Danio rerio: one gene and its partners. The protein of the gene in region 2 interacts with the protein of the main gene of each other region in a biochemical or structural test. Links are inferred from orthologs where the notes say so. Each region holds a gene or a part of one and is shown on either strand. Other genes may lie near its edges. The genes, in order: jund, atf3 and jun.

Region 1 (2,971 bases), on a different chromosome or scaffold from region 2:
TTGTTCTATTGAAGTTTTCCTTCCAAAATGGCCGCCGCGCCATCTAGTGGCTGTTTCCCAAATTGCTTTAGAGTGTCGCCTCTTGGTGATTCTATGCTCTTTTTTAACAGTAGAGTTCGTTTTTATGATATACAAGCTTGTGGACACCAAATTCGCGTTTAGGAGCTATAAAACCGAATATAAAGCTTGTAGTTGGTCACCAAAATGGAGCAACGGTTTTATTCACGTCACCTCAAAATTCAGTTTCTCAACAAATCTTCCGACCAATCAAATACTCTCTAGTATCTGGCAAGCCCCGCCACCTTCAGTCGCTTCAAAACGCTATTGGCTGTTTCATAAAGGGGAGGAGCTACTCTTGGTTCCTCTTTCTTCATGTTTCGCGTCAAACATCGTATAAAAAACGCACACTTCAAAGCACTTCACGGGGACCTTTAACTCCTCGCGCGCTGTGGAAATGTGAATGTATCCAAACCCCAAACCTTAAAGTTTGTCAACCACCCAAACACTGACAGATCAAGGAGTTCTGGTGAGTGTTAGTACGCCTGCACGGTGTTCGGCAGGAGCTGGCAGCCGTTATTGACGTGGTTCATGACTCTCTGCTTCAGCTGCGCCACCTGCTCCCTCAGCACGCTGGCGGTGGACGCGAGCTCCGTGTTCTGGCTCTTCAGGGACTTCACTTTGTCCTCCAGGCGGGAAATCCGCTCCAGTTTCCGCTTGCGGCATTTGGAGGCGGCGATGCGGTTCCGGAGCTTCTTCCTCTCGGCTTTGATGCGCTCCTGCGTGTCCATGTCGATGGGGGAGAGCGGCGGGCTGTCGCCGAAGCTCTGCATGTCTGGTACCGTCTGCGGCTCGTCCTTCAGCGGCTGCGGCTGCGCGGACATCGGGTGCGCGGGCGGCGGCGGTGGGAACGGGATGGTGTCTGTGGAATAGTTCACCGTGGTGCTCCCGTACGTGCTCAAGTTCGTATACACGGGCAGATCCGCGTTTAAGGCGAGGCTGGTGCTGCTGTTAGCGAGTCTGTTGAGCGTCGGGGGAACGCACGGTCCGCCGTTCAGCTGGTTCTGCTTGTGGAGATCCTCCAGCGCTTTGACGAAACCCTCCGCGAACTCCTGTTCGTCGCTTACCGACTTCGGGTAGATGAACTGGGAGGTCGGTGTGGTGGTGACCATCCCGTTGGACTGAATAATCAGCCGCTCCAGCTCTGGTGAAGCCAGCTTAAGGAGCCCCAGATCCGGGGAGTTGAGTATTCCCTCAGCATCCCTCAGATCCGGCTTCAGACTCGAGCTGTTCTGGTCGTCCAGGTTCAAGCTCATATCTTTCTTCATCATAATTGTTCTCAGTATTCCGCGTATATCCTTGTTTATGCGAAGCAGACGTGTTCCCATCCTACACTCTCCTGCCGTGTAGCGTCGAGCTCTCCGAGCGACCCATCGCGACGAAAACACAAAACTATTCTTATTTAAATGACCTAGATTAGTTTTGATATCTTGCGATTTATGGCGTCGTTGTTTTTTATGGTGTTGTTTTCTCCGGAGCGCGAGAGAGATGTGTTATCCACGGGGCGTCAGTACGCATTTGCAAGTTTTCTATCCCTAAAAATTCCATTATGTCACTTCAGAGCGCTGAGATTGGCCAAAGATGACGTTTTCTTCCGGTTTGATTTGCATAAGGGGCCGCGTTCGCCCGTGTCGCCGTGGAGACGGGGAGTAAACGGCAAACAGTGCGGTGCATTGTGGGTTGATGTCATAGCGGACGTAAAACGCGCGAGGGTGGAGGAATAAAAAGCAGGCGCTGCGGGAGAAAATGTTCCCTCGTTTCTGAACATGTTGAAGGTCTTTGGATGCTTTGATCGAGTGTTCCGTGATGGGTTTTATCTAATGGAATAATCCACACGCTTAAAAACAAAGGTGACAGGAACAGCCTAAAATAGGTTATCACAGTAATGCCACAAAAGAACATCTTTTAATTCAAATAAGTACTTTGAAAAGTCTTTTTCTACTATAAAGATGAAAAGATAATGATGTTCATGGTGCTTCTATATGCAGGTGGTTTTGACATTTAATGTACCAGTACCAGTATCTGTTTTCATGTTAGGGGAGAGTGGGGACATTTTTTGCATTTCCTTCAATTTTTTTGTGGAAACCCAAAATTTTAATATGATAAACCCACATCAATCTGACACCCACCCACATTGCTATAATATGTGTTCATATGATATTATATGCAGAGCTTAAACGTGAACAGACAAAGTCAAATGTTGTAAATGACCCCGATCATAGGAACGGTTGTAACATTCATTAAAATGTGTATTGATAGAAAAAAATTCTAAAACATGTTGGATTTTATTTACTTTTTTGGTAAAAGAAAGTTTAATAACCAACCAACCACCCAACCAACAGTGTTTTCAAAAGCACCGATTGACCCGCCCACCCCCTTCCCTAAACCCAACCAACAGTGTTTTCAAAAGCACCGATTGACCCGCCCACCCCCTTCCCTAAACCCAACCAAAAGTGTTTTCAAAAGCACCGATTGACCCGCCCACCCCCTTCCCTAAACCCCCCAAAAAAAAAACTATTTTTTTTTTTACTGAAAATCGAGACTGAACCTTTACTAAACTACTTCTTTGAACTAGGGTTGGGCGATGTCAACCAATTTGGCATCGTAAAATGTCTAATGTGAAACATCGCGATGGATGATGGCATCATTGTCGTAGGTGGTGGTGAATTAATAATTCATAACGAATTAATCATTTGTACCCTACCTCATTTCAACTACCTGACCCACATGGTCTTTGTTTTACCCATAACCAAATCCTATATAAATAAAGATAAGTTACACATAAATTACCCAACCAATAGTGTTTTCAAAAGTATGAGTGATCCGCCCGCCCACCCCCTTCCCTCAACCCAAACAATAGTGTTTTCAAAAGCACCGATTGACCCGCCCACCCCCTTCCCTAAACCCAACCAAA
Region 2 (4,332 bases):
CCAAGCACAAATGTATGTAATAAAGGAGTGTTTTATTGGTGATTGCACCAGGACGGTGAGGAGAGATTACTGGAAATTTCCAGAACACATAGGAAAGAGTGTGGACTGGGCTGTGTAATAATGAACAGCTACGGCAAGAAAGCTGTGCTTCACATTGAAAAGAGGAATGCAGACACTGCTGACGACCCACTCCCTTAAAACATCACCAAATCACTGCGTTAAATATTGAATTGAAAGGAAAGTGAAATAGAAAAACATGAGAAAGATAACAAGCCTATCACTAATTTTACTATATATTTATTAAGCAAACTTTTATTTTATAGTGTTTTGTTACATATTAGATGTACCAAAACTAATTAAGAAAAAAACTTACTCATATCCACCAACTTATTAGTTTAGACAGACAGACAGACAGACAGACAGACAGACAGACAGACAGACAGACAGACAGACAGACAGACAGACAGACAGACAGACAGACAGACAGACAGACAGACAGACAGACAGACAGACAGACAGACAGACAGACAGATAGATAGATAGATAGATAGATAGATAGATAATATTTATAGATAGATTTGTTTTAGTGTTCTTTTTAGACAGAATATGCCTAAAAATAAATTAAATGCATAATTATTTGCAAATAAAATGAACCTTAAATTAATTTTACTCAGTACTTGATATAATGTATAATTAAAAGTAACAAGGATGCTCAAATAAAGTGTAATAAATCGAATTAAACTTTTAAAGTTGAATACACTCAAATATTCAACCCTCTAAAAACTGAAAACCTCTAAATGTCATGTTACAATATTACATAACAATAATTAAATTATTATTAAATGATAAAATCCTAAATTCAGTCAGAAACAAACCAACTAAATTCAAACGCCATAAAAGATATTCAAAGCTGTTTTTTCCCTGAGCCAGTGGACATTTAAAACCAAATTTAAAGCTTTTAAAAAAACAGCCATATACACACTGACCTTGGCTTCATCTCTCCATCTCTTCATAAAAATACTAATAAAAAAAAGACATAAACAAGAAAACATAGGCTAAGTGTTTTTAACTTAACAGACCAAGAGGGATTTTATATGCTCTCTTTCAAACCAAGCAGACAGTCTGTCAGTCAGTCAGTCAAACTCTCTCTCTTTCTCATATCTCTTTTTTCAAAACTATTCGGCACATGACATTAGAGCATACCAGAGATGGCCTGTCATTACACGAGTATATGTCTTTATTTGCTCATTAGGTTAACATGCCAGCTCGTCAGCTTCACTATTGTGAGGGAGGGCGGGAGTTTGCCCAGTTATGGTGCGCGGCGGAGAGGGTTGCCTGATTGCATCATCGCGAAAGGACAGCGCCGCTGATGCTATAAATAGGGTGACGTCACTCGCCCCGCCCCTAGTAGTAGTTCACGTCCTCCAGCCATAAAAAGGGGTGATGCAACGAGCCGGCGACAACTGTAACTTTAGCAGCTGAGCGCGAGAACAGTCCGGCATCAGGAGAGCATCACAAACACACGCGCCTACATTTATTTACACACAACCAGGTAAGAGACGGCATTGTAGATTTCCTATTCATCGCTATTCTGGAACACGCTGTGGGAAAACGTCTATGGTGTGCTTGGTTTGGGCTACTAAAGGGAGATTTTTGCGTTTATGGGTCAAGCGATTGTATTTAGGTTTGAGTTAACGAACTCTTTTTTAACGAACTTTTATTTAGCTATAATGTATGTGCATTACTGTTTTTTTGCGTTAATATTTGTTCGATATTTATTAAAATTGGATTAAAACTGATTGATTTAAGTTCTCCTGTTTTCAAATTGTTTAACCGACAATGTTACGTCAGTAAGTTTACTTCATCGACAATGTGTAACACGAATACAACTCATGAAATAGTTAAAGATTATGATTTCATATAGCCTACTCTGTATTGAAAACCTGTCACTTAAATGTTAAAATATTAGGACTAATAAGGTTCTTAATCAATATTTGATGGTTTAGATTATTCTGTTTGCGAGTTGTTACTGTAGGCTATAATGTATTTGTACAGTAGTACACATACATTAGCAAAACGTTTGTTGAAATGAATGTTTATGACAAAAAAAAGCGATAGCATACTGTATAAAGAGAGCAAAACGTCTATAATACGTCATTGTAAAAGCAAAATATTGACAGCTGTGGTAGCCAGAACCTATGAAAACCCCTATAAATACTGTAATAATGTAACGAGTAAGATTGCACTTTAATAATTGTAAGTTGTACAGTTTCTATCTATAATTGAATGGTAACGTTAATGTTTATTTACATTATTTATTCCTTTAAAAAGGATTAAAACCGATTGATACGAATACAACTCATTAAATAGTTAAAGATTATAACTTTACTATTTTACACTGTACTACAAACCTGTCAGTCAAATGTTTAAAATATTATTATTAATATGAAATTGTTCATTAATATTTGATGGGTTTAGATTATTCTGTTAGCTAGTCGTTACTTTATGTATTCCTGTCTAGTCATACACATAAAATAACAAAAAAGTGTGTTAAAATGAGTGTTTATGACAAAAAAAGCGATATACTGTGTAAAGAGAGTAAAACATCTATAATACGTCACTGTAAAAAAATATATATATATTGACAGCTGTGGAAGCTGGGAGCTTTTAAATTACGGTTGTCATTGTAAGATTGATTGAGAATGACATGTGGTAAAAATTGTTAGCCAAATTACTTTCTGCTCATGATATCTAGCCTTTTATTAGCCAGTTGTGTCTGTATAATATAATATAATATAATATAATATAATATAATATAATATAATATAATATAATATAATATAATATAAAAACTTTAAAAACATAAACCATAAACGTAACATAACAAAATTTAACAACACAAGAACTTGTGACTACAATATTCTCCCTTAATCAAAACTTTATCACTTTAAAATCTCTTATTACTTAAAATCACTTATCACTTTAAAATGCATATCATTTAATGAATTTAATATTATATTAATCACCTTGTTAAATGTAATATTTATATAAATATCATAAATGACAATAATATTTAACAAGGAATATATATTTTAATTACAATAACTGTATAACTATTGTTTATATAGTTTATTATTATTAACAAATTATAACTGATGGTATATAATTATAACATTATGCAATTAAACACTTTTATTTCTAAAATACAATATTTAATGATCATTTTTAAATGTTGTTTTTGTTACAATTTAATTAATGGGTCTTACTCTATAAATCTGATGTTCTTAATCATTTTCTAACTATAACACAGTTATTTCAGTAGTTTTATAGAGAAAGGTGTAACATTTTTACTTGTTTATTTATTTATCTATCTTACCATTTTCCTCGTTAACATCATGATTTAACTGTTGTTTTGTATTTTTTTAGATTTCGGCATGATGCTTCAGCACCCTGGTTTGGGTCCGTCAGAGATCAGTGCATCAGCTTTGGTTCCCTGTCTCTCTCCGCCCGGCTCCCTCACGCTGGACGACTTCACAAACTTCACTCCATTAGTGAAAGAGGAGCTGCGCTACGCCATCCAGAACAAACGCATGTCCAACGGCATGAGCACCCTGACCACTGACAGAGCCTGCATGAACACTGAGAGACCCACCGAACTACCTGGGATGAAGCGAGAGGTAAGACCCACTCATTTACTGGCACAAATGTTTTTTTTTTTTTTAAGTGTAATTTCTCATATTTCACATTGGTTATATTGAGTAACGTGGACGTAGAAAAGCCATGCTTGCACAATTCACTTGTTCATCCACTTGTGGGCATTTTAGGTAGTTTGGCTTTCCCAAATTGTTAGATGTTGTTATTTCAGGCTGTCCCAGAGGAGAACGACCGAAGGAAAAGAAGAAGGGAAAGAAACAAAATTGCAGCAGCAAAATGTCGGAACAAGAAAAAGGAGAAAACCGATAATTTACAAAAGGTATTACTTGTTATTTAGCATTTGATTAAAAAACGTAACATTTATATGAACATATATTATATCTGTTATTTTTTATTATTGATCTTTTTTGCTATTTTTAACTGTATTTGATTACATTATATCTATTACATCTACAGTTGAAGTCAGAATTATTAGGCCCCTTTAATTAATTAATGTTTTTTTAATTTTACAAATGATGTTTAACAGAGCAAGGAAATTTTTACTGTATGTCTGATAGTATTTTTTCTTCTGGAAAAAGTCTTATTTGTTTTATTTTGAGTAGAATAAAAGCATTTTTAATTTTTAAAAAAAACATTTTTAAGGTCAAAATTATTAGCCCCTTTAAGCTATATTTTTTA
Region 3 (3,906 bases), about 24 Mb from region 2:
TGTATAAAGTCCATATTTTGTATCCAGTGGCACTGTGCTCGAGTGTTTGATCTGTTGTAACAAAGTGAAACATGTCAGAGACCATCAATAAGTGCTAGAGTAACAGTAACACAAAAAAACTGTCTTCTCTTTACTTTGACCTATATGCTATAAAACAGTAGAATCAACCATATTTTAATGTACTCATAACAAAAACTAATTAATAAAATAAACAATAATAAAAACGACCATTCTTGCAAATGTCCATCTCAACATTACCTGTATATTTATCTTACTAATGTTGTTATAAATACAAATAAACTAGCTATTGTGTCTTTACATACGTTTAAGCAACGTCAGTAAAAATCTCAGAAAGTAAACTGAAACGTCACTTGTCAGCTGTCACGCTATATTCGATCAGTTTGTGGTTGTGGTTGACGCAGTGACGTTTAACAGGGTTGTTTGCACTTTTGAGAGGATCTCTAGGGACTGTCACGGATACGGCGGCTGGACTTTGTGGCACGCTGTCACTCCACAATAAGAAACGCCCCCATTTTTAGACCATTGGCTGACGGAGCAAATGCACTTTGGCATAAAAAAGCAGACTATAGCCCTGTTTCTTCGTGCCAGATTAAATTATGTATGCCTGTATAACACTGAGGTTTTTAAACTAGGGTTCGGGGACCCCCAGGGGGCCAACAAGGGAGTGCTGGAAGTGAAGAAGAGTAAAATTAGCAAATACTAATTAATTCATAATATATTTCAACGACTGATTAAAAAAAAATACTTTTAATCAGCTAATCTAACATTATATTCAAACAAAATGAGTAACATCAAGTTATGCTTATTTAATTTATTATTTCAGAAGGCATTTCTTCTATTTTTTTTTCGTTTTAAATCTCCCTCAACATTTTATTGTAAGGTTGGAAATTAGTTTCACTGACTCCAAACTGTATTTCTAATATATATTTTTTACCTTACTGATGTATATGCAATACATTAAACTGGATCCAGAGAGTGTTTGGAACTTGCTGTTGTTAAAGAATGGCCGCGTCTTGCGAAACTCGCGCAAGAATTGGTCAACTCTCAAACATACAGCGGCACACATTTATTCTGCCTCTTCTTCTCAAACTTATAGTAAAGTTTAAGTTCTAAAAGTGGCGCGTTGTACATTACTCTGCTTCTTTGTATCCCGCCACGGTCTAAAACAGCTAAGCGGGTAACCAGATATTCAAAAACAATACGTAATCCCACAATGCACTGCTTTACAGCATTACCTCATCCCATCAGGCACCGCGAGTAGAATCTTCTGGGTGGTCGTCTAGGCAACGCGCCTTATCTGAAATTGTGACACGCCCAGTAAAACGCCTCCAGCCAATGAGAGGCTGCGCGCATTACATCATTTCTATTTTTAGTGGGGCAGCGGTAGCAGATAAGGTTTGCCTCCACGCTGGAGAAGCTCAGAGTATACAGACCTCGCCACAGTGAAACACCTCACTCAAACCAACATAAATAAGCCTTCGGCTAAGCACTGTTTATCTGCTGGTGTCTGAGAAGCGCGACAGCGGCGGAGGAAGAACTTTCTATCCGCGGAAGGCAGGAGGAGACGAGCCCGTGACACTGGCGATAACTTTACGCAGTAAGTTTCTCGCGGGACGGGGAGTTGAGGAACTTTTCCAATCCTCTCGCTTTTGTTCCAAACACCGCAGCGCTCGTTACTGAACGCGGACAGTGCTTAACAGCGCCTAAAAGACTGCTTCTGAACTAAAAGTTTCGCTTTGCCTTCTATGTCTACCAAGATGGAAACTACTTTCTACGATGACTCTCTAAACAGCGCTTTCTCTCAGCATGACAGCGCCACTTTTGGATACAACCACAAGGCTCTGAAACACAACATGACGCTCAATCTGTCCGACCCCGCGGGGAACCTAAAGCCCCACCTGAGGGCCAAAGCCAGCGATATCCTCACTTCTCCCGACGTGGGACTTCTCAAACTGGCATCACCGGAGCTGGAGAGGCTCATCATCCAGTCTAGCAACGGCATGATCACCACGACGCCAACTCCGACCCAGTTTCTGTGTCCCAAGAACGTGACGGATGAGCAGGAGGGGTTCGCGGAGGGCTTTGTGAGGGCACTGGCTGAGCTGCACCACCAGCACATGCCCAACGTCACCTCGGCTCCCCAAACTACTATCAACAGCAGCATGGCACCGGTCTCGTCCATAGCGGGCGGTGCGGTCTACAGCTCAGCCATGCGCGCTGATCCGCCGGTTTACGCGGATCTGAACACGTTCAACCCTGCTATCAGCAGCAGCTCGGCCAATCCAGCCGCGATGAGCTTCCCGAGCGCACCACCGCAGCTGCCCGTCCAGCACCCGCGCCTCCAGGCCCTGAAAGAGGAGCCCCAAACGGTGCCCGAGATGCCCGGCGAGACCCCACCGCTCTCTCCTATCGACATGGAGAGCCAGGAGCGGATTAAAGCCGAGAGGAAGCGCATGAGAAACAGAATCGCCGCGTCCAAATGCCGGAAGAGGAAACTGGAGAGGATCTCCCGGCTGGAGGACAAAGTCAAGACCCTGAAGTCGCAAAACTCGGAGCTCGCGTCCACCGCCAACATGCTGCGCGAGCAAGTGGCACAGCTCAAGCAGAAAGTCATGAACCACGTCAACAGCGGCTGCCAGCTCATGTTGACACAACAGCTGCAAACCTTCTGAGGAGAGCCGAAGGACATTTTGAGTTCAGCCACATAAACAAACTTCAGGGGCTTGATGTCTGCGATCTGGCGCGACAGAGCCCGCGGGGACCGGGACCGTCCGGCCGGCCGCGTGCCGTTAAAGGATGATCCGACTGGACTTTTGAGGAGCGCAAAACTTCACTCGGTCCGACAGAGACGCAGAGCGCATGAGACTCACTCTGTTACATGTTTTACTTTCTGACGAAATCCTTGTTCACATCGACCAGGTTGTGCATGGACCTATACGCTTCAAAGGAGCACTCAGTATTATAGGAGTAAAACAGAGACGCGACTGCCGTACAGTAGGGATACTGGCTCACCAAGCAGGACGTTGTGTCTGCTAAACTTTTGATAAAAAAGCTGCCTGACTTCTGAGCTACATATTGTACTTTTTTTGTTGTTCTTAAATTGAACGGAAATCGACTTTTTTCCTTTTGAGTTAGTCCAACTTAAGCAGTTTCTTTTTCTAAAAAAAAAGTTCATTAATGAGGTTTCACTCATTGTTATTTGTAAATATGATCAACCAGGAGTACTTAAGTTTACCATTTGTAAGTAAAGTACAATAATTTTTTATGTTTGTTTTCTGAGCACCTCAGAAACTAATCAATATTTATGAACTGTAATAAAGTATGTCAAATGAAAAACAATGTCTCTGTTGTCTTAATGGAAATGACGCTTGTGTGTGTATGTGTGTGTGTGTTCAAATTGACAAACATGTAATAACATGTTTTGGAAGAGACTGGCTGTTTTGTAAAGTCCACAGACAGGACTGGGAAAAAAGGGTGTCAAAAAACATCCTTACAGTAATTAAAAATAATAACATTATAAATACATGCTTAATTGCTAAAGGTTAAATGCAAACTTAATATAACATTTTTACATCAAAATAAAGCAGACACATAATTTGATTGACTCTTTAAATCAGTAATGCTGAAATTATCAAGTAATTATCACACAGTCAAGTACTAAATAGACCAATGCCTTTAATCATGGCCTCATTTTTGTGTCAACTGAAACAAAAGTTTATTAAGGTTAGTGTTAGCCTGCAAATATGTTAAAAAAAATTGTAGAAGTTGAAGATGTATACAAGTTTTAACAATTTAACCAGCAACAATGACTTAATATTAAATTAATAAATGGTTGAAATTTAAAAATACTCCTTATAACAATAGTGTGTTATTTAGGCTATCAAA

The links.
Region 1: the proteins of atf3 (region 2) and jund form a complex in vitro, tested with the Homo sapiens proteins (2 studies listed by BioGRID and IntAct, with this or other methods). The link is inferred for Danio rerio from reciprocal best matches to the Homo sapiens genes ATF3 and JUND.
Region 3: the proteins of atf3 (region 2) and jun form a complex in vitro, tested with the Homo sapiens proteins (2 studies listed by BioGRID and IntAct, with this or other methods). The link is inferred for Danio rerio from reciprocal best matches to the Homo sapiens genes ATF3 and JUN.

What each region holds. Positions count from the first base shown.
Region 1 is NC_133177.1:59,460,500-59,463,470, forward strand, and holds jund (transcription factor JunD), read right to left. Parts: upstream 1,532-2,971; 5' UTR 1,386-1,531; coding exon 534-1,385; downstream 1-533. UniProt on the Homo sapiens protein: Transcription factor binding AP-1 sites.
Region 2 is NC_133195.1:41,075,763-41,080,094, forward strand, and holds the start of atf3 (cyclic AMP-dependent transcription factor ATF-3), read left to right. Parts: upstream 1-1,461; 5' UTR 1,462-1,552; intron 1,553-3,426; 5' UTR 3,427-3,434; coding exon 3,435-3,677; intron 3,678-3,824; coding exon of another isoform or gene 3,825-3,865; coding exon 3,866-3,973; intron 3,974-4,332.
Region 3 is NC_133195.1:16,778,378-16,782,283, forward strand, and holds jun (transcription factor Jun), read left to right. Parts: upstream 1-1,497; 5' UTR 1,498-1,766; coding exon 1,767-2,693; 3' UTR 2,694-3,357; downstream 3,358-3,906. UniProt on the Homo sapiens protein: Transcription factor that recognizes and binds to the AP-1 consensus motif 5'-TGA[GC]TCA-3'.